4 linked regions of the Caenorhabditis elegans genome follow. The protein of the gene in region 1 interacts with the protein of each later gene in a pairwise test. Each region holds a gene or a part of one and is shown in the gene's direction. Other genes may lie near its edges.

The links.
Region 2: the proteins of nfm-1 (region 1) and mel-11 interact in a two-hybrid assay, tested with the Caenorhabditis elegans proteins (one large-scale study listed by BioGRID).
Region 3: the proteins of nfm-1 (region 1) and psme-3 interact in a two-hybrid assay, tested with the Caenorhabditis elegans proteins (one large-scale study listed by BioGRID).
Region 4: the proteins of nfm-1 (region 1) and txbp-3 interact in a two-hybrid assay, tested with the Caenorhabditis elegans proteins (one large-scale study listed by BioGRID).

Annotation. Positions count from the first base shown.
Region 1 is NC_003281.10:6,157,924-6,165,120, forward strand, and holds nfm-1 (FERM domain-containing protein), read left to right. Parts: upstream 1-1,565; 5' UTR 1,566-1,955; coding exon 1,956-2,177; intron 2,178-2,307; coding exon 2,308-2,523; intron 2,524-2,869; coding exon 2,870-3,088; intron 3,089-3,164; coding exon 3,165-3,299; intron 3,300-3,346; coding exon 3,347-3,481; intron 3,482-3,556; coding exon 3,557-3,859; intron 3,860-3,902; coding exon 3,903-4,052; intron 4,053-4,153; coding exon 4,154-4,241; intron 4,242-4,713; coding exon 4,714-4,984; intron 4,985-5,095; coding exon 5,096-5,270; coding exon of another isoform or gene 5,271-5,282; exon of another isoform or gene 5,283-5,475; coding exon 5,476-5,691; 3' UTR 5,692-5,696; exon of another isoform or gene 5,697-5,703; intron 5,704-6,369; coding exon of another isoform or gene 6,370-6,420; 3' UTR 6,421-6,662; downstream 6,663-7,197. Other genes in the region: F42A10.9 (Gamma-glutamylcyclotransferase family protein), read left to right, coding at 6,729-6,820, 6,880-6,976.
Region 2 is NC_003280.10:9,356,738-9,361,541, forward strand, and holds the start of mel-11 (cGMP-dependent protein kinase interacting domain-containing protein), read left to right. Parts: upstream 1-1,793; 5' UTR 1,794-1,796; coding exon 1,797-1,877; intron 1,878-3,187; coding exon 3,188-3,388; intron 3,389-3,952; coding exon 3,953-4,507; intron 4,508-4,804.
Region 3 is NC_003281.10:11,566,531-11,573,889, forward strand, and holds psme-3 (Proteasome activator complex subunit 3), read left to right. Parts: upstream 1-1,606; 5' UTR 1,607-1,610; coding exon 1,611-1,820; intron 1,821-4,667; coding exon 4,668-5,092; intron 5,093-6,532; coding exon 6,533-6,644; 3' UTR 6,645-6,813; downstream 6,814-7,359. Other genes in the region: Y66D12A.10 (MITD1 C-terminal phospholipase D-like domain-containing protein), read left to right, coding at 34-102, 1,218-1,362.
Region 4 is NC_003281.10:5,045,645-5,048,704, reverse strand, and holds txbp-3 (Tax1-binding protein 3 homolog), read left to right. Parts: upstream 1-1,543; 5' UTR 1,544-1,562; coding exon 1,563-1,817; intron 1,818-2,297; coding exon 2,298-2,417; 3' UTR 2,418-2,529; downstream 2,530-3,060. Other genes in the region: vtip-1 (Vha Twelve Interacting Protein), read right to left, coding at 11-95, 144-243, 292-411, 459-581; C45G9.14 (uncharacterized protein), read right to left, coding at 3,052-3,060. UniProt on the Caenorhabditis elegans protein: May regulate a number of protein-protein interactions by competing for PDZ domain binding sites.

The DNA of each region.
Region 1 (7,197 bases):
TTTTTCCAGAAAAACTCTAATATTTAAGTGATAACACCCACGCAGAGTGCAATTAAATATCGATACAACAATTCATTATCATCATCAAATAACAAACAATTAACAAATGAGGCATCGACACTCTCGAAGTAGCACAAAAATTGAGTGAGGTGGCTCTTGCACAGAGAGCGAGAGCATAAGTGTGTGCTCTGGCTCCGCCTATTTTTTCGGAGCTCTGGGAGAGAAGGATAGAGAGAGAGAGAGGGAAGAAGGGATTTCCCGAGGCTCCCGGCAGGAAGTGTTGGGAGCCAGACAGTGGGAGCAGGCACAGAGTACGAAGAGCAAAGTGGAAAGATGGGAAACAACAAATTATGTTATGAGGAAGTTTTTTGGCAGATTGGTTATGAAACTTTGCAGAACTTTAATGCGTTACTGTAAATTTAAGGGAAAGTAGGTTCCATCGAGCGTACTTACGAAAATTGTACTGTAGCTCACTATCAGTACACTGTACTTTCGAAACATTTTTCTGGATTTCATCTTTCTGGAATTTTTGAATTTTCAATATGGAAAAAATGTACTTAAACTTCATTCGAAAATTATATGACTTCAAAGGAATAGGGAGGTTAATCGAAAAGTTACTGAAGTTTTCGAATTTTTGTTGGCCATTTTGCTTACACAAGTGCGCCCCACTTCACACTGATGTCTCTTTTGAAAATATAATAATAAGTCAATCGAAAAATACCGATTGTGTGAATTTTTCTATACTGTCCCTATTCCCCCTTTCATCTCCCCCCATTGACCACTTCTCCCCATCCCCTCCTCCTATTATGCGTAACACCCGGCATGTCTAGGCCACGAAAGTTGTGGTTCGTCGTGCAGTCATGTCCGAGTGGTTAAGGAGATTGACTAGAAATCAATTGGGCTCTGCCCGCGTAGGTTCGAATCCTGCTGACTGCGTTAAATTTTTTTCAATTTTTTCGCACATTTTTTTCGTTGTAACTTCGAAATTGTACAAAATGAAAATATACTTGATAATAAACCAAAACGTGCAGTCATGTCCGAGTGGTTAAGAATGTCCGAGTGGTTAAGGAGTTTGACTCGAAATCAAATGGGCTCTGTCCGCGTAGGTTCGAATCCTGCTGACTGCGAATCTTTTTGAATCTCGTCAGTCGATGTAACTTTTGTATCGAAACCATTTGGAGAAAAACGATGGAGGAGGAAAGGGCGTGTTGACATTATTTTATTTATCGAAAAACTGAAAATTCTTGTTCACACGAGACCAGGCCACATATTTTCACAATGCGTCATATCAGTTGGGGGCATTGAATCATTGTTCTTCAATATTTTTATCAGTTATTCTTCAATGAATGCACCTGGGATTCCATACCTATCATCATTATGAGTGTTGAAATATTGTTTCGTCCTCTCTTCCAATCATCTTCTCTTGTTGTTAGTTCCAATGCCTCTCCTTCCTCTCATATGTTCTAACACTTCTTGTGAGACAGACAGTTGGCATAGAGTTCCTCGACGCAGATACCTATACAGTTACAACACTATTTGCCCTGGGGCGTACTTACATTGATTTTCTTCACTTTTCTTAACTATTTAACATACTTTTTTTAAGATGGGCTTCATCTCATTATTGATTTTTCACCCTAGAGAAACCAATTCAGTACTTCGGAGACTATAGAACTTTTCTAACTTTCCGAAGTTTTAAACGGAAATATTGGAATCCACGTTATTTTCTAATTGCCTCAAACTGAAACTATCTGAAATTTTTATTTTCAAAGAAACTAAAAAAGCAATTTTAGTATCTGAATTTTTGGATGTTGTTCTTACTTGACGGAAAGAAAATACGTGCAATACGTTCATGTGCAGACAACGGTCTTTTTTCAGAAATGAATAATAGTTGCTAGTATTATTTTTTTCTTAAACTTCCAGGCTAATTTCACCTACAAAAATTCCAAAAAATAGCAATGGGTGGATTTTCGATATTTTCGCGAAACACGAAGCCCATTTACGCAAAAGTGAGCACAATGGATGCTGATTTGGAGAAGATTGTAATTGAGAAAACATGGACAGGAAGACATTTATTTGAAGCAGTTTGTCGAATTATTGGATTACGGGAAACTTGGTATTTTGGACTACAGTTCACAAATAAAAAGAATATTCCATGTTGGTTACAGAATGATAAAACTGTGAGTTTTTGTTGAATACATTTTTGGGGATACGGTATTTCCAACAATAAAACCAAATTCTAATTATCAAATTAAAATATTTTGGGAAAAATAATTTCTCTGAAAATAATTAATTTTTGAAATTTTCCAGATCTGTGGCCAAGACATCCAAAAAGACACATCTGATGGAACTTTTAATTTCTTATTTCTTGTCAAATTCTATCCAGAAGACGTGGAACCTGAGATTATTCTAGATGCCACTAGACATTTGTTCTTTTTACAAATACGAGAAGCAATACTTTCAATGAATCTATATTGTTCACCTGAAGCAAGTGTTTTATTGGCCAGTTTTGCAGTTCAAGCAATGGTAAGATTTTTGTATTTTAACTGGGTTTTACAAAATATGAAAATGCCATTTAAATTCCTTTATTGAACTTTTAAAAGATCGTCAGTTGAGAAAGTGTTTAAAATCACTCATAAAATTTTTAATATATTTCTGAAAAATTGAGAATTACAATATCGAAATTTACCAAAACTTTTGCTGTAAAATTTTGAAAATCTAAAATTTTCAGAAAGGATATTTGAAGAGTATTTGAAAATCCCATTTTCTTCCAGAAAAATTGGCAAAACATTTTCAAGTGCCTGAAAATGTTTCTGAAAAACTATCTATATACACTTTATTCAAAATCTAGTAAAAACGAATTAATTTTCAGCATGGCGACTGTACAGAAGAAGTTGGTCCAATTGATCTTGACAAGCATTTACCAAAAAGTGTGATTGATCAATATGATATGAGTGCTGATATGTGGAGAGATCGAATAAAACGATGGTGGTCACGGAATGCAGGACAATCAAGAGAAGAAGCTGAACTTGAGTATTTGAGAGTTGCACAGGATTTGGAGATGTATGGAATATTATATTATCCTATTTGTGTAAGTTATTTGAGAGATTCTGTTTGAACGGTTGTGGACATTTGAATTTGAGATACATAATTTTATTTATTTTCAGAATAACAAAGAAACTGACTTACATCTTGGTATATCCGCTCAAGGGTTGGGAATCTATAAGGGAGTGAATCGAATAACACCTCGGCCGTTTTTTAGTTGGAGTGAGATTAAGAATATTCAATTTAAGAATCGAAAGGTAATTTTTTTAAAATTTTCTTTTCACGATTTCCATTGTACGTTCAGTTTCACATGAAAACCGTCGACAAATCCACAATATCATTTCGATCACGAGAGACATCAATTGATTCTTCAATATTGGATCTTTGCATTGGAACACACAATTTGTATTTAAGGAGGAGGCAGCCAGACACGTTAGAGGTATGTGTCTTTTATAGTAGGGCAACTTGAAAATTTCTATTCAGTTTTCTACGAAATGATAACTGTATATTTCAGGTTCAACAAATGAGATCACAAGCAAAAGAAGACAAGCAACGTCGAGCAGCAGAACAAGCAAAAGTTGCATTGGAACGAAAAGAGAGGCAGCAAATGGAAAAAGAATATAAGGAAATGAAACAAAAAGTTGAAGTGATGACTTTGGAATTAATGAAAGCTCAAGAAAATATACGAAAGGCAGAAGAAGCGAATGATCAATTAGCAGAGAAGGCACGACACAGTGAACATGAAACTTTGATGTTGTACAAGCAAAAAAGTGAAGTTGAAGCTGAATGTAATCGATTAAGTATGAATAATATGAAGGTAAAAAATCAAATTAATTATGAAATTAAAGTTTAATTTTCAGTCCGAAGAAGCTCTGTTGAGAATGGAACGAAAAGCTCGGGAAGCTGAGATTTTGGCAAAGCAGATGTCAATGTCACTAGCAGATGTAAGCCTTGACGCGAATCGGAAAATGACACAGTATTCGAGTCAGTCTGCGTTGATTATTGATCCGGTAAGTTAATGGAAAATCTTCCCATTTTGAGTAAATCTTGACAAAACCGTAATGGGATTGATAGAGGATATACTCGATTAATACGGTTTAGAAACTTTCAGAATTGGCATCAACAAGTATCTGGTCATCAATCAGGTCATCCTGGTATGCCATCAACAGGATCATTTCATCAACTGCAATCACTTGACAGTTAGTTTTTTTAAAGGCACAATAAAAAAGTCTATTCCAAAATAGTATAGAAGTATAATATCTATAGCAACTTTTGCATGATAATTTTGGCAATGGGCGTAAAACTATGTTTAAAAGTTAAGAATAAAAGTTTGCCGAGTCAAAAAAGTCTAGATCACATAATAAAAACCGACCCCCTAATCAGTTTATCGAATTTTTTTTTGATTATGTAACTTCAACATTTTCTCACAGCCAGGTATTTGCAAAGTTGCCTCAAAAAAGAGAACACTAAAAAATATTTTGGTAATGATATTATAAATTCAAGATCTTCAAATGAGAATGTGTCTAGTTGTAAACTAATTTATTGTTTGTAATGCCAATTTGGGAATGAAATCGCAAGCCAAGTTGCTACTGTTTTTGACCAATCCACGTCTTGTTAGAAATAAGAAATAAGAAAAATATGATTATATTTATACGGAAACAACATTTTCAGCACACACTCATCCTCAACAAATGATGTCTCGAAGTCTGAATATGCCATCATCTGCATTTTCCTCCCCAATTCCTTCAAATCAACCACTTTCTCATCAACAACCACAACAAATGTCTCAAAATACTCAAGCTCATCAACAACAAACTCAAGTTCAAAATCAGAATCAACCGCCATATTACGGAGGATCTGGTATGATTATTCCACCACCCGATCCTTCAATTAGTCAGATTTTCGAGCAACAGACTACTCTGATGGAGTTGGAAAAATCAAGGTTAGTTTGGTAATTAAAAAAAAAGGATAACTGAATTATATGCTAGCAGAGTTGAGCAATGGAGGTACAATCCTAATAGAGAATAGTATGTGACATTAGAAATTTTTTCAGGTCAGAATACGAAACACGAGCGCGAATCTTCAAGGAGCACCTGGAAGAATTACGTGGCGATATTGACGGCCTGAAACGAGACGGTAATGTACAAAATGGGCAGCATCGAGAGCATGATGCGGTTCATGCACAAAATGTGGCACACGGTTTTGATAAGTTCACGACGATGAGAATGGTAAGTAGATAATTTAGCAAGTTCTGTTAGCATGCTACCGTTCTGAACGGTTACTAAGCTGATCTCATGATCAGAAGGTCAAAAGTTCAAAAAGTTATTAAATCTCTTTTTCATCCTATTCTATTATATGTTAAGCTTCTAATTTATTAAAATTTCGCGCGTTTGGCATTTGTAAGTTTGACGCTTAACTTCGGAATATCTCCAGAAAAAATCAAAAAGCGCAAGCTCAATTGGCTCATCGGGTTCCTCCGATTCCTTGGAGCTCAATACTGTCGCTAGACATGTGGCGGGACGAGGGATTCCACGTGTCTCTACAGTATCCACTACGAGCTCGTCAAGTATTCTGAGCCACGTCATGATGCTGCATAGACAGCAGTCTTATGATTTGGGAAACACTGAATGGCAGGAAGCTGACATTTGAATATAGTGAGAAAATAGTGCCAGAGTTTGATTGTTGTGTGGTAGAGCGTGTTTGCATATTGACTAATTTTCCAATTATTGTTTTCTAACACTTGTTGATTGGTATTTTTGTTAGAGTTGAAAATAAACATTCATGGTTCAAGCGCTCTATGAATAAATTCAATAATATGCACACTGTAATTGTTTTTTTTTGACTTAAAATTTAAAAATCAGGAATCGCAACAATGAACGCAGCGCGAAAAATATTTCTTAGAGCGCAATCGTTACGTCGGGTACTGACACGAGATTATTTTTTCCGCTACAGTATCCAATAGTAGACGTTCCATCGTTTATTTGGAAATTCTTTTTCTTGAGTTTTTATGTTTTTGTAGTAAACCTATTCAGGGAAAATAAGATTTTCACAACAAAAACTCGAAAAATTTTTAAAAATAGAAAGAAACAAGAAAAAGCAAAACCCAGGGTACGGTATCTGAAAAGTTTCGCTCGCGCTAAGACTTTATTAATTTTATTAATTGATTCAAAAAATCACACATTTTTTAGTGAAACTATATCTTTGAATTTCACAAACCTGTCCGTCGGTGTATTTTGTTGTGATTTTTCAAATTTTGAAATGAACATTAGTGTGGTATTGATTGATTATTCTTCTCATTTTCCAATTATAATTTTCTTATAATTTCAGAGTATGCGAGGAACTCCACGACAACGAGCACAAGCTTTTGATGGAATGTGATAAGAAACTTTATGGCCATTTATGAACCGATTTTCCTTTTTTTTCTTCAGTTTTTCCCCATCCCGATAAGAGATAACCCCATTTTGTGCTCATTCAGTTTATTGATTTTTCCACACCCTTTTGCCATTTTTCAATCAATAATCTTTCGTGGCAAGACAAAAACGCGTATTTTTCTTCTTTTTTCCGAAAGGCATATTGTGTAAATATACATATCGAATGATTGATGAATACAGATTTTTTTTAAATGTTTTTTTATTAACTTAAAATAATGAAAAAATCTGTAATTTATTAATTCATTTCCAGCAAAAATGGGCGAAAAATTCAAGGTTTTCGTGTATGGAACCCTGAAAACAGGAGAGCCAAACTACAAGGTTCTGTCAGAAACTGACGGAGAATATCGGTAAGTTCGGGAGTACTGAAGAATTTTGAGTGTCAAATGTGATGCATTACTTCTTTCAGATTCATCTCATCTGGAACTACAGTGGAAAAGTTCCCATTGGTAGTTGGAACCAAATATAACATTCCATTTTTGCTTGATGATGCTGGGAATGGAAATGTGAGTTTTACAACCTGAAGTTTATTTAAACCGACGTACTTTGAAGCATATTGACAAGTAATTAAAAAAAAAGAACGAGAACGGAATCAGCTTTGGCAGGGAAACAAAGATGAATAAGGAAATTTTAAAGAAAGAAACAGAAAAATGATTATGCGCACGGTTTAAAGGGAGTATAAATGCCAAAAACTTGTTTAGATCCGAAATTTTTTTGGTATTCAAAA
Region 2 (4,804 bases), on another chromosome or scaffold:
CACCACGACCACCAAGCAGCACAACAGGTTAAGGATGATGATGAATAAGAGAACGGTGAGAGGAGGATCGGGAGAAGGATGATGGGAAGAGAGGGCAACCAGCCAACTGCCGCTGTGTGTATAATGATGCGGGAAAAGAGAACAGAGCGAGAGAGTCGAAATATATTGAGCGGTGTTTAATAGACGCAGACACGCCGCGTGCAGGCGGAAAGTTTCAAGTACGTCCCTCCCGGTCTCTTTCTCTTGGATGATGGTGTATCTGCGTCTCGAATCACTAATTCTCTCTTTCTGTCTATATCGTTGAAAATAGAGAGAGAGAGAACGACCTATCCATCGACTTGTCGCCCCTAATCCCGGGGGCACTGTTCCATTTTTTCTCTGGAATTAGTTCAATGTGTCCGTTACTCGAAAATTGTTTTTTAATTTCTCATTTTCTGAACATTGAACCTAGATTTTTTAAACAATGAATTTTTAATTTAAATGCCATAGCCAATGTTTTATATTAACATTGATTGCAAAAAAAAAAGAAATGTTTCTTTCCAAAAATATAACATTTCTTTTGAAATATAAACATTGATTGGCAATTTTCAAAAATTTTAAGCGTTTTTTACAGAAATGCCTTGCCTTTTTCAATTATTTTTCCAAATTTGTTTAGTTAGTCTTCAATGACTCACCGCAAACTTTTTTTAGAAACTTTGGAAACTCTAAATATTTCATTTTATAAAATTTTTGAACATAGATATTTTACACCAATATTTTTAGAAAACAAATTGCACCGGAAATAGTGCCCAATTTCATAATATTTGTTCTCCGGTGTATCCACAATCCAAAACCACCTTTATCACATCACTTTATCTAATTCTCTAAGCCTTTTCTGATCTTCACTGCCTCACTATTTTCACCCACTTGCCGCACTTTTCAATGGATGAGTGGGAGTTGTATTGATTAGTATTATATTTATATATCCTTAAGGATATATTTTTAATGGCGGAGTCCATGGATAGTTTGCTTAAAATTATTGAAAATTGGTCCTAATGAACGAATATATATATTTAAAAATGGTTTTAAATTATTTATAAATTTGAAGTTTGAAATTTTTTTTTTCAGTTTTGCCAAAAAATTCAAATTGCACATTTTTGTTGCAAAATTAAAAAAAATTTAGAACCATTTATAAGTGTTTTATAATTATATACGGTATTCGATTTTTCGATTTTTGGTTTTTTATTTAACAAGAACGTTGCATTTTTTAGATTTTTTTTTTTAGAAAAACCCGTAAATTTTTTGATTTTTTGGTATTTCGGAAAACCGAAAAACCGGCAGATTTCGAAAATTCGGGTATTCACATTCCAAGATTTATACGCAAAAGCTATGAAACTTTAGTCAAAAGATTAATCGAATAGTTGTGGTCTCATATTTCAAAAGAAGGATGAACCGGGAAATGAGTGAACGTTAAAGTAGTGGTGGTGGGATATGAAGAGTAATTGACTTGGAGGTGGTCGAATACGCGGAATAAGTCTCCGGTTTCAGTCACACGCTAAACTGGTCATTTCTTGTGGGTGTCTGTGTGTGAATACGAGTCATTTTTCCCAAGCTTCATCGTTTGATCTATTTTTTCTCGTTTCCAAAACCATAATATTTTTACAAAATACTTTATATATTTTTTGGAATTTCTACCCATTATTGTATCAATGAAACGAACGTCATTTGTATCACTTTTCTCATCGTTCTTTGCTTTTCTGATTGAACCTATCTCAAACAACAACATTTTTTACTAAAAAAATTTCATATTTTGCAGAATGGGTCAAGATGACGAGGACGATGCGCATATGCTGCAAGCAAAGCAGCAAATCACTTTTAATGTTGTGAATAAGAGAAAGGTGAGCTTTTTTCAAAAGTTTGAAAACAAAATTCAACAAAAAAATAAATCTGTAATTTTTGCGAAAAAAAATTTGGTAAAAACCTCGTTTATCACAAATTAAAATAGTAAAATAAAACTAAAATTTTCTTCGTTTAAATTGAAGAAATTGTCTAAATTTATATTTAAATTTCAACATTATAAATTAAAAATCAGTTTGAAATTTCATTTTTGTTAAAAGTGATCTTCGAACTTTAAATATCAAATTTTTGGCCGACTTTCTTCGGTTTTTGCGCCAAAAGTACGGTACCCGGTCTCGACACGAAAGATTTCTGTTAAATGCGAAAAGTTATGCACCTTTAAAGGTTACTGTAACTTTCAAAAAGGAATTTTCATTTTTTTTTCCATAGTTTTCATAGTTGTCTTTTTTTGTTCAGTAAATTAATATATTTTCAAAAACGAAAAACGTTAAAAAAATCATGGAATTTCACAACAATAGTAGGTTGAAATTACAGTACTCTTTAAAGGCGCAAGCCTTTTTGCATTAAACATAAATGAATCGTTTCGAGACCGGGGACCCGTTTTTTGACGTGAAAATCTTTAAAAAATTTCATCTGCTTAATTTTCCAGTTTGAAGCTTGTTCAGTTTTTTTGTAGTTTTTTTTTTCGAATTAAAAATTTGAGAAATTTAAAATTATTCTAGAGAAAGTTTCTGAAAACACCTTGCTCTCTATGATTTTTTGTCTGAACCGTCGTTCTTCCTTCATTTTCCATGTTTCCTCCTCCACCCCCGTTCTCCATTTTTCCTGCCATTTTCCATACAAACACATTGACAATAAAAGTGAGTCAGCGGGCACAGGGACACGACGACGGCGACGACGACGACGTCTCTTTCGTCTCTTCTCCGGAAAAAAAACCACCAAAAGAGAACGTTTTTTGATCTTTTTTTGATAGTTTCCACAGGCTTCCGGTTGAACTTTTTTCTTATCAGTGTCAAGTTTTGACTCATTCTAATCGGACGATTATTCGTTTTATTTTTTTCCATTTGCTTTGAAACTTTTTCTCTTGATCATTCAAAAATTAATTTCTAAAAAAAATTACAAACCAGTAGGTATTTAGTGAACAAAAAAAAAACGACAATCACGACCGAAATCCAGTCGTTTATACTTGTTAATCAATTGTGCAAACAGGTGCAAACACAATTTGTGAGCTCTCTCGGCGTGTGCCAACTTTTACTCTTTTTTACGCCGAGGGTTCGAAGTTTAAACATTCAATAAATTTAATATTTTTTAAACAAAAAAAACCATTTATTTGTAATTTTTAAATTTTCAGGATCAATTGCGCCGTTGGCAGAGCAGCGAGATGAACGCAGAAGCAGCTCGGCGAACGAAACGTCCAAAAGTACAATTTCAAGACAGTGATATTTTTCTGTCGGCATGTATGTCTGGAGATGAAGAAGAAGTTGAAGAACTGTTGAACAAGGGTGCCAATATTAATACTTGTACAGTTGACGGGTTGACCGCATTGCATCAGGTGAGATTTGCATTTATTATTGACAATTTGGTACTTGTATCGTCCATATGTGAAGTTTCGTGAATTTTGTTTAAAAAAATACGATACCCGGTCTCGAGGTGAACCTAAAGGAGTACTGTAGTTTTTCTACAGTTTCTTCAAAATTGCACATGTTTTTCAATAAAAGTTAAACAAACGTTTGAAAACGTATGAAACATCGAGGAAAATCCTGCAACAACAGAGAGCAGGGCTGGAGCAACGAAATTACAAAAAAAAATGAAATTGATAAAAACAAAACGAATTTAATTTGGAATTTATTTTAGAAAACAACCTTAACTTTTTCTGGAAATAAAAGTTCAAAAATAAATTTTAAAAAAATTCTTTTTGAATCCTTAAAAAACACATTTTTCGTAAAAAAAAAGTTCTTTAAAAACAGCTACAGTACTCCTTTAAGGCGCACAATATTTTAAATTTGGTGCTTCGAGACCGTACTTTTGAAACAAATCGCAACGTTTTGCATATGGATAGAACATTGAAAAATTGAAATATTGCATAAACAAAACATTCGAAATTGAATATTTTCAGTCGGTAATTGATTCAAAACCCGAAATGGTTCGATTTCTTTGTGAAAAAGGAGCCGATGTGAATGCACAAGATAATGAAGGATGGACACCTCTTCACGCAGCTGCATGTTGTGGAAATGTGGCAATAGTCAGATATTTGTGTCAACATGGAGCCGATCTCTCAATAGTTAATAGTGATAAAGAGTTAGCACTTGATCTTGCAGTAGATGAACAATGTCGTGATTATCTTGACGATGATTACAAGCGACAAATGATTGATCTCGATGCTTGTAGAGATCAAGAACTTCAGACAATGTTGAAAGATGTGAATATGTGGATGAGTCAGGGAGAATATCGAGATATTCCTCACCACAGAACAGGTGGAACTGCAATGCATGTAGCTGCTGGGCGAGGATACACACAATTACTCGAATTACTTATCAAAGCGGGTGGAAATGTACGGGCACAGGATGTCGAAGGATGGACTCCGTTGCATGCGGCTGCACATTGGGCTGAACGAGATGCATGTAAAATATTATTGGAAAATGGAGCGGAATTATCGGATCTAACGTTTACGGTAGGGGTTTACAGTTTTTCTGTTGCGGTTTTCAAGACCTGGCGCCTGCTTGAAACCTACCAGCCACTCGCCTATTTTCTGTATTCTGGCGTGAATTTTCAAATTTCTTATCTTCGAATTTCAATTCGATGAAAATCAAATTTAAAAAATAAATGAGGAAGGCAGAGGTCGCCTTAATTAAGCCAGGCAGGCGTTTCGACGCCGACATGGAAGTCCTATCAAAGAAAAACGACAACAAAACTGAATTTAAAAACATTTGTCATACCAAAATATGTTTTTTCAAAGATAAAAAATATT
Region 3 (7,359 bases), 5.4 Mb from region 1:
CGCCGGGAAAATTAGAAAATTTTGTGATTTCAGAAGCCTTGCGAAGCGCGGAGTGATGTTCAACGTCGAGTTCAGCACGACAATTCATGATCGGGAAATTATGTACAGATTTGAATTAATTTATCCCCCCGAAATGTGCTCAAACCTCTTGAAAAATTCGATAAATGGCCGGATTTTCGTTAAAATCTCCGGTTTCGACCACTTTTCTGCGTGGCAGCGGTCCGAAGTTCACTTTTATTTGATTATCCAATCTTTATTGCATATTTTGGTAGTTTATCTCTAAATATTTCGAAAAAAGTGGCCAAAAATGTCCAAAATATCTATATAAAGCCGGAAAATGACCGAAATTTGGCCAAAAAAGATTAAAAACGGCCAGAAATGCCCGAAATTTGCCAAAAATAACCAAAAAATTAATAAAATTAGTCACAAATTCCCGAAGTTGACCGGAAATCGCTAAAAATAGACTAGCAATGGTCAAAAAGAACCAAAGGAATGGCCAAAATGACCGAAATTGCCACAAAATATTGGAAAATGGCCAGAAATGTCCGAAAATTCGCCAAAACGAATGAAAATGACAGAAATTTTGATCATTTTTGGCCAATTTCGGTCATTTTTGGCTTATTTTTTGTCATTTTTTTTAGTAGATTTTGGCTTTTTTTGGTCAATTTCGGTAATTTTCAGTCAATTTGTAGTCATTTTTAGCCAATTTTTAATCATTTTTGTCCAATTTCGCTCATTTCGGCTTTTTTTTGGCCAATTTCGGTAATTTGCAGTCAATTTTTAATCATTTTTGGCCAATTTTTAGTCATTTTTGGCCAATTTTTAGTCAGTTTTGGCTAATTTTTAGTCAGTTTTGGCTTATTTCTGGTCAATTTCGGTAATTTTCAGCAAATTTTAGTTATTTTTCGCCAATTTTTAGTTATTTTCTGCCAAATTTTGGTAATTTTTGGCCCATTTCGTTAATTTTCAATCAATTTTTAGCTATTGTTGCACAATTTCGGTCATTTTTGGCTTATTTTTGGTCAATTTCGGTCATTTTTAGCCAGTTTCGATCATTTTTGACTAATTTCAGTCATTTTTGGCCAATTTTTAGTCATTTTCTGCCCAATTTCGGCCAATTTTTAGTCACTTGGCCATTTTTAGCCAATTTTTGATAACTAATTTCGTTAATTTGAGTTAAAAAACGATTTTAATGCATTTTTTAAATTATTTTCCAGATTCGACAACGGTTGGGTGGTGAAAAGTGGCCGCGGGCTCGACTATTTCAAAGCTTCCGATGGGAAATATGTGCTCGGCGCCAACGATATGGATCAGCGGCCGTGCCACGAGACTATTATCAATATTTTGAAGCGGAAAACTTGATTTTTCGTGTATTTTTTCAATGTTTTCTGTGAATTATCACACTTTTCCGGTTGTAAATAGTAATTTATCTCGATTTTTTCACCAATTTGCCAGAAAAAATGCCATTTTTCCAATTTATTGTGTGTTTTTTTTTCATTTTTTAAAAAGCTATTTCTTGGTTTCCAACCAGCGAATTATCGATTTTTCCCCCACAATTTTCCGTTTATTTTCTGCTTAATCCACATTTCCACTGGAAATTTTCCAGCACGATGGTCAAGAAGCAAAGTATGCCGGAGAACAAGGAGCTCGTCGAGTACAAGCAGAAGCTCTTTGCCGAAGCCGAGAGGCTCGTCAAAGAGGAATTTCCGAAGAAAGTTATCGAGTTCGACGCGTTGCTCAAGAGCCCAAAGCTCTCGTACGATCGTCTCGCCGAGATTCTTCCCGATAAATCGTTGAATATTCCGATTCCGGATGCGTTGGTACGGAGGGGAAAAATATCGAAAAAAAAAATAGTTTTTTCTCAAAAAATAGCGATTTCCGTGTGAAATTTTCAAGTTTTTTAACGCTTTTTTGCTGAAATTGACTGAAACTGGCTCCAAACATTAAAAAAATACTTTTTTTGCGTTGAAAATACCGAAATTTTATTTAAATTTTGATTTTTTCCTGTAAATTTGCAAATTTTTGCTTTTTTTTAAAGATTTTTGCACAAAAAAAATCAGATTTCTGTGAAATTTTCAAGTTTTTTAGGCTTCTTTAACGCTTTTTTTGCTGAAATTGACTGAAACTGGCTCTAAACATTTTTTTTAACGGCCCTAATTTTTTTGCCAAAAAGGCGATTTCCGTGTGAAAATTTCAAGTTTTTCGAGTTATTTTTTCGCTGAAAAAGACTAAAACTCGCCAAAAACGATCCGGATTTCGGGAAAAAAACCAATTTTTGCTGAAAATCGAATTTTCGAATAAATTTTTATGTTGTATCATGGAATACAGCTGAATTTTGCTGGAATCTCACAGAAACGACTAAAATTTGGTTCATATCCGCCTAAAATATGCAATAAAGGGTTATAATTTAATGAAAACTAAAAATCTCAGAAAAAATTCGAAAAATGTGCAGAATTTTGCTAAAATTTGAAATTTCTAATTAAAAAATAGGGTTTCTTGAATAAATTTCAATAAACCCAATTTTTAATCGGAAATTTCGAATTTTTGCAAAATTCTGCACATTTTTCGAATTTTTTCTGAGATTTTTAGTTTTCATTAAATTATAACCCTTTATTGCATATTTTACGTCGATAGGCAACCAATTTCGGTAATTTCTGAGAGATTTTAGCGAAATTTAGCTGGATTCCATGGCTGCAGCTGCTTCGACAAGAAAATTTTGTGAAAATTTCGGATTTTAGCGATATTTGGCTCTTTTTATCTGAAATTCTGGGCGTTTGGCGCAAGTTTTAGTCTATTTCAGCAAAAAAACATATTAAAAAAAAACTTTAAACTTTCAGAGAAATCGCCTTTTTTGCGAAAAAAATCTCAAAAAAAAAAGCAAAGATTTACCAATTTACTGGAACAAATCAAAATTTAATGAAAATTCCGGTAATTTCAGAGAAAAAAACCAAAAAAAAAGTTTTATTTTTAATTTTTGGAGCCAGTTTCAGTCCATTTCAGCAAAAAAAGCGTAAAAACTTGCAAAAAATAATGTAAAAAAATAAAAAATTTGCCAATTTACAGGAAAAAATCAAAATTTAAAGAAAATTCCGGTTATTTCAAAATTAAAAACCAAAAAATAGTCTTTTTAAAATGTTTGGAGCCAGTTTCAGTATATTTCAGCAAAAAAAGCCGTAAAAATTCGAAAATTTCACAGAAATCGCCTTTTTATTCCAAAAATCCTATCAAAAAAAGCAAAAATTTGCCAATTTCCAAAAAAAGGGGAAAACATTTTTAAAAAATAGTATTTTTACAATTTTTGGAGCCAGTTTCAGTTTATTTCAGCAAAAAAAAGCGTTAAAAAGCCTAAAAAACTTGCAAAAAAATGTTAAAAAATAAAAAATTTGCCAATTTACAGGAAAAAATAATAAAATTTCGGTAATTTCAGAAAGAAAAACGAAACACCTTTTTTAATCGTTTGGAGCCAGTTTCAGTATATTTCAGCAAAAAAAGCCGGAAAAATTCGAAAATTTCACAGAAATCGTCTTTTTTTTTTGCAAAAAAAATATCTCAAAAAAGCAAAAATTTACCAATTTACAGGAAAGTATGAACATTTAAATAAAATTTCGGTAATTTCAGAGAAAAGAACCAAAAAAATAGTTTTTTTTTTTGACATTTTTCGAGCCAGTTTCAGTTTAATTCAGCAAAAAAAGCGTTAAAAAACCTTTAAAAAACATGAAAATTTCACAGAAATCGGTTTTTTGCGAAAAAAAAAGTTTAAAAAAATCTCAAAAATGGAAAAATTCACCAATTTCCATTAAAATCACTGCAACTTTTTCCTCACGAGGGACGAGGAAAAGTGGTTTCTAGGCCATGGCCGAGGGGCCGACAAGTTTCAGCGGCCATTTATCTTGCTTTGTTTTCCGCCTGTTTTCTTTCGTTTTTCATCGATTTTTCCCGTTTTTTCTTATTAAAACTGATAAATAAATACTTTTTGCAAATGCTAAAACAATTTCCAAGTAAAAAAATTATGTATTCAGTGGGCAAGCAGCGGTGAAAGTGGTCAATGCAATATGATGGATTACGGGAATACAAAACCTAAACTTTTTCTGAAACATGATACATATGATGCTTAGATGCTGAAATTACCTGATTTTCATAACGAGACCGCTGAAAAAGTTTTGAGGTTTCCAAATTCAACTTTTTTGGTGAAAAAGTCGAGATTTTCGCACAAAAATTTGAATTTTGAAAACCTCAAAACTTTTTCAGCGGTCTCGTTATGAAAATCGGGTAGTTTCAGCATTTAAGCAGCATATGTATCATGTTTCAGAAAAAGTTTAGGTTTTGTATTCCCGTAATCCATCATATTACAATGCCCACTTTCACCGCTGCTTGCCCACTGAATACATAATTTTTTTACTTGGAAATTGTTTTAGCATCTGCAAAAAGTATTTATTTATCAGTTTTAATAAGAAAAAACGTGAAAAAGCTGTGAAAAACGAAAGAAAACAGGCGGAAAACAAAGCAAGATAAATGGCCGCTGAAACTTGTCGGCCCCTCGGCCATGGCCTAGAAACCACTTTTCCTCGTCCCTCGTGAGGAAAAAGTTGCAGTGAAAATATCAAAATTTAAAGAAATTTTCTCTGTAATTTTTTTTTCAACGCGAAAAAAAAACCAAATTTTTGCAGAACGGCACCACGGACAGCGATGAGCCAGCGGTAAAGCGTCAGCGAGTCGACGAGAAGCCCAAAGGAGCCCCGATCTTCGCGTTCAGCAGCGGCACTGTCCCATGCAACGAGAATCTCGCCCAACTCATGGATCTGGTTCGCCCGAAGCTTCGTGACGCTGTCGAGCAGTGTAACAACGTGAAAATGTGGATCACTTTGCTCATTCCACGCATCGAAGACGGCAATAATTTCGGCGTCGGAATCCAAGAGGAGACACTGTCCGAAGTTCGGAATGTCGAAAGCGAGGCCGCCTCGTTTTTGGATCAAATGAGCCGATATTTTACGACTCGTGGAAAGCTTATCACGAAGATTGCTAAATATCCACATGTGGATGATTATAGACGTGCTATTCTTGATATGGACGAGAAACAGTTCATTAATATTAGGTTGGAGCAGCAGAAATTAGCGAAAAATTGAATTTTTTAATGAAAAAAAGTTTAAATTTCGGAATTTTCAAAAAAAAACCGATTTTTTCTAGGTTTTTTTCCTTTTTTTGGTCTAAAAAATCTATAAAAATTTTAAAAATTGCAACAAAAAGAAAAAAAGCGGATTTTTTCAAAGGTTTTTCCTTTTTTGAGCTATTTTTAAAACCTTTTTAGCCTAAAAATCCAAAAAAAAACCCGAAAAATTGCAAAAAATGTTCAAAACAGTTCAATAATATTAGGTTGGAGCGAAATAGCGAAAAATTGAATTTTTGAAGAAAAAATCTCACTTTAAAAATTTTCAAAGAAAAAGTCGAAAAACGGATTTTTTTGAAAAGTAAAACACTTTTTTTGCCGTTTTTTGGTCTAAAAAATCCAAAAAAAAAAACCTTAAAAAAAATTGTTTTTTTTTAATTTTAAAAATACAAATCATCTCATAAATATTAGGCTGGAGCGAAAATTAGCATAAAATATCGAATTTTTAAAAATTTCACAAAAAGAAAGAAGAAAACACATTTTTTCAAGGTTTCTTGCCTTTTTGCTAAAAGGCTAATTTACTAATTATTTATGCTAATTTTTGTTAAAAGGTTGCCTTTTTTTTTTGTCTAAAAAATCCCAAAAAAACCTTTAAAAATTGTTGTTTTTTTTAAATTTTTTCAAAATAAAATAAAAACCATTTCATAAACATTAGGTTGGAGCGAAAATTAGCGAAAACATTTTTTTGAAAGAAAAAATTTCAATTTTAGAAATTTCACAAAAGAAAACCAAAAAAAAAAAAAGCGAAGACACATTTTTCGCTACTTTTTTCGTTGTTTTTGCTAAAATTAAAAATCTAACTTTTAGAAACGCGATTTTTCAGTTTTGGCTAAATTCCCTCCAAAATGAGAACTTCCCGACCAATCAGCGATTCGCTCCGCCCACATTTATCTAACCAATCAGATGGAGTGGGCGGAGTTCCACGTCGCTGATTGGTCGGGGAGTTCTCATTTTGGAGGGAATTTAGCCAAAATTGAAAAATCGCGTTTTAAAAGTTAGATTTTTAATATTTATTTTTTGCAATTTTTCTGAATATAAAAAACCGAAAATAGTTTTAAAAACGAAAAAAAAAAAATTAAAAATATTATAATTCTATTTAAAACCCAAAAAATCTTTAAATAAAAGAAAACCAGAACTCAAAAAAAATTATTTGAAAAAAACCAATAAAAACACGATTTTTCGAATTCCCTCCAATATGAAATCTCCCCGACCAATCAGCAACTCCGAGCTCCGCCCACTCCATCTGATTGGTTTAAAAGTGGGCGGAGCGAATCGCTAATTGGTCGTGTGCAGTTCTCATTTTGGAGGGAATTTTTTTTTTATATTTGTAAAGTTTCCGAAAATTTATTGAATTTCTGTGTGTTTCAGATTGGTGGTTCTCGAGATGCGCAATCACTTCTCCACACTTCACGATATGATTATGAAGAACTATGAGAAGATCAAGGTTCCACGCACCTCCAACACCGAACATCTTTATTAAGGAATTGAATCCATCATCCTGTTTTAATGTTTGCTTCGGTCTCAAATTTTACCCAATTTTTGATTGTTCTTTCGAGTTTTTTATTATTATTGTTGAATTGTTTTTTTGTCCCAGTTTTTTTTGTTTATTCTCCGCATTTTTAGGAGCTCTATTAAGACTAATTTTTCTTTTTCTTTCTGTTAAAATTTTGTGAAATTTTCAAGGTTTTTTGGCCTTTTTTATCTACCTTTTTCTCATTATTGCTTAAAAATCAAAAAAAAAAGTGAAAAAATTAATTTTAAAAAAAGACTTTTTGCATCTTTTTTTTTTTGAACAAAAACTCCAAAATTTCAAATTTAAGCAGTTTTTTCATGGGTTTTCTGAATTTAGGATTTTCTGGAGAAAAATTGCCTTTAAAAAAAGGCAAAAAAACCCTGAAATTTTCCACAAAATTTTTACCGAAAAAATTTGAATAAAAAATCCAAAAAAAAAAAGATTTTTCTGAAATTTTGGTCAAAAATTTTTTAAAGTTTTTTTTTAGTTTTGTTAAATTCCGCCATTTTTTTTTTTTTGAAATTTAAAACTCAATATTTCACTTTTAATACAATTTTATAGGGCTTCAGCGCTAAATTAGCATTTTTGAAAAAAATTTAGCGTTGCAGCCTTGTAAAATTGTACTAAAATTGAAGTATTGAGTTTTAAATTTCGAAAAAAATGGCGGAATTTGAACAAAACT
Region 4 (3,060 bases), 1.1 Mb from region 1:
TAATTCTTACGTCATGATAAAATTGTTTCGATGTCCTGGTTCAGCTTGCTTCACAATATACATATCGCCACTATCAGTGATTGTCATGGAATTTACTAAAAAAAAATATATTTTAAAAAATGTTTTATACCAGAAAAACTTACATAATCCTTCGATAAACGACTCATGAACAACATCTCCATCAAGTGAAATTACTCTTAAAATTGTCGTTCGATCAGAGAATTCAGCTGATGTGTAGATTATCTGTAAATTTGAATAATTAATAACTTAAGTGAAAATAATTTATTGTACCCTGTCTTTGTACGAAATTACTTGTGGAAATGGGGCCATTTTCTTGAAGAATTTCTTGTCTTCGTGCAGAGTTCGGAGAGTTTTTCCGTTGAATTTATATAAACCGCCTTTTGAAGCTACCTGAAAAATGAATAATTTTTAATTGTTGTTGTTTAATTATAATATACCCATATATTGTTGTCTTGGTCGTAAACAACGTTATAAGGAACTCTTGCCCCTCTTGGCTCCAAATGAAGAAGCATTTCATCAAATCGTTGATAATCACTGGTGTCTGACGGTTCTTGGGTCATTTTTATGCTGAAAATTGAAAATTTATTAGATAATTTATCATTATATTTAGCAAAAGAAATGAGAGTCAACGATTAACTAAAAATTTAAGAGTTTTGCGCAAGAGAAGTGTCTAAAAATCAATAAAAAATTTCACCATACCCAGCTCGCTGCGAGACCTCAATCAATAATTTGAATGCACTCCTTTAAAACCACAGTAATCGGCGAAGTGAATTTGAATATTATTAGATTGAACAACATTTTCAAAGTGAATTCACATTTAAAATAAAGTGAAAATAAAGAAGATTTTGGAGTTAAACATGGTTTAAAAGTGGGAAAAATGTTTTAATTTGAACAAAAATGGTTTTTGAAAATAAATCGATTTCTCAAACATATATTGTGGAAATTGGAAAATCTACAGTACCTAGCATTAAAAAACTTCTTTTCCGCTACTGATTTTAGATTTTTAGATATTCTTTTTTCTTGACTATATTGTTTTACATTGAAATAATTCATTATTAATTATTATAATATCTTTAAAAATATGCCTGCAAATAGAAACATGCAAGACTGCAAGATTTGGAAACGTTAAATAAAAAATTGAGGGAAAAAGATTATTCAATACAAGTAAAACCAACTTTCCATGGCCGCAAAAAGCGATGTTTGGTCTTATTTTTTCAATTTCTCTTCCACGGCCACCAATTCAATTATTCTCTTATCGGCAACACTTGTACAAGGTCGCCATCTCAATGACAATCCGAACGGAATTGAGTAAAAATGTATGCAAATTCGGCCATGAGAGTAGGAAGATGAGATAGTGTAAGAAAAATGGAGACCAGAGGGGGTTGAAGACAATGAGTCACACCTCATGTTGTATGTGTGCGTTTCATCTTTGTCCGTGTTCCGACACATTTAAACATTAGTTTTTGAACAAAAAACCTCATTTTCTTTTCAATTTCACTTTTAAATACTTTCCAATTTTCAGATCAAAAAAAAATAATACAATGACAGCATATGGTCATATGCCAGGAGAAGCAATTGAATGTTTGTCAATTGCTGTTGAATTGCACAAACAAGAAGTTATTGATGCTCATGGACAAGTCACAATTCGAGTTGGATTTAAAATTGGTGGAGGAATTGATCAAGATCCAACAAAAGCGCCATTCAAATATCCGGATTCTGGAGTTTATATCACAAACGTCGAATCAGGATCGCCGGCGGATGTGGCTGGATTGAGAAAGCATGATAAGATTCTGCAGGTAATTATGAAATTTTTAAGTTTTCTTTTCCCAGAGACAAATGATCAAACTTTCTTGCCAACATATACATTGTTAATTAAGAGTACTGTAAACTTACTGCCGAATTTTCATCGATCTTGCATAGTTTTTCTCATGAGTTTTTGGAAATTTTTGTGTTGTTATATTTCAAATAAATAAATATACTTTCATCAAAAAACCATGCAAAATCGATGAAAATTCAGCAGAAATGAGAATTTGAAATTACAGTACTCTTCTTAGGCAATATTTTCTCATTCAACATAAATTTGCGTGAATTAAACTGAAGTGAATTAAACATTTGGCCAATTAAAAAATTTTTGGTAGACAAACTCAAGAACGTTCGAACATTAGCTTAACATAAGTTTCCAAAAAATTGAAAACTCCTCAAAATTTTTCTAGATGATATTGAGAACATCCTCTAACAAACGGACACCCCAACTAAATAATATTCTCTATTTTCAGGTCAATGGAGCAGATTTCACAATGATGACTCATGATCGAGCTGTGAAGTTTATCAAACAATCAAAAGTACTTCATATGCTTGTTGCAAGAGCCGATCTTCCTCCTGTCAGTCTTCATTAACTCAATCTCATTTGTTCCGTTCACATTCAAACTTGCCCTTTTCAATTATCTCTCAAACTCAATTCTGCGCATATATTTTGATATTTATCGGGTTCAAAAATAAAAAATTTTACTTTTTTGACGACACAATGCATCATTTGACAAGAAAAATTGGTCATTCGTGTTTGGAAAAATGAACTGAAAATTTCATAATTGCCTGTAAATTTTTATCATACAAAAATGAATTATTTCAATGTAAAAAATAAAGTAAAACAAAAGAAATTATAAATCTGAAATCTGTCGCAATAAATTTGTTAAATTAAAACATTTTTTCCACTTTTAAACTAGTTGGGATATTAAAATCTTTGTTGCTTTCACTTTATTTGAATTGTGTATACACTCTGAAAATGTTTTTAAATCTAAATAATGAATTTCAAATTTACTACAAGGATTACTGTAGTTTAAAAGGAACACACGTGATTTCACTTGATGGATTCTTGGAACAAATTCAATTGTGTAAACACAGAAAAAGTGATGTACTAACAAAATGTAGTATTATATGCAAATGAAACTTGTAGTACATACTAAAGTCTTCTCGAATCATCTCGAAAATAATAAAATAGTATTTTTTAAAACTTTTAAAAACTAGAAACATTCAATTTTT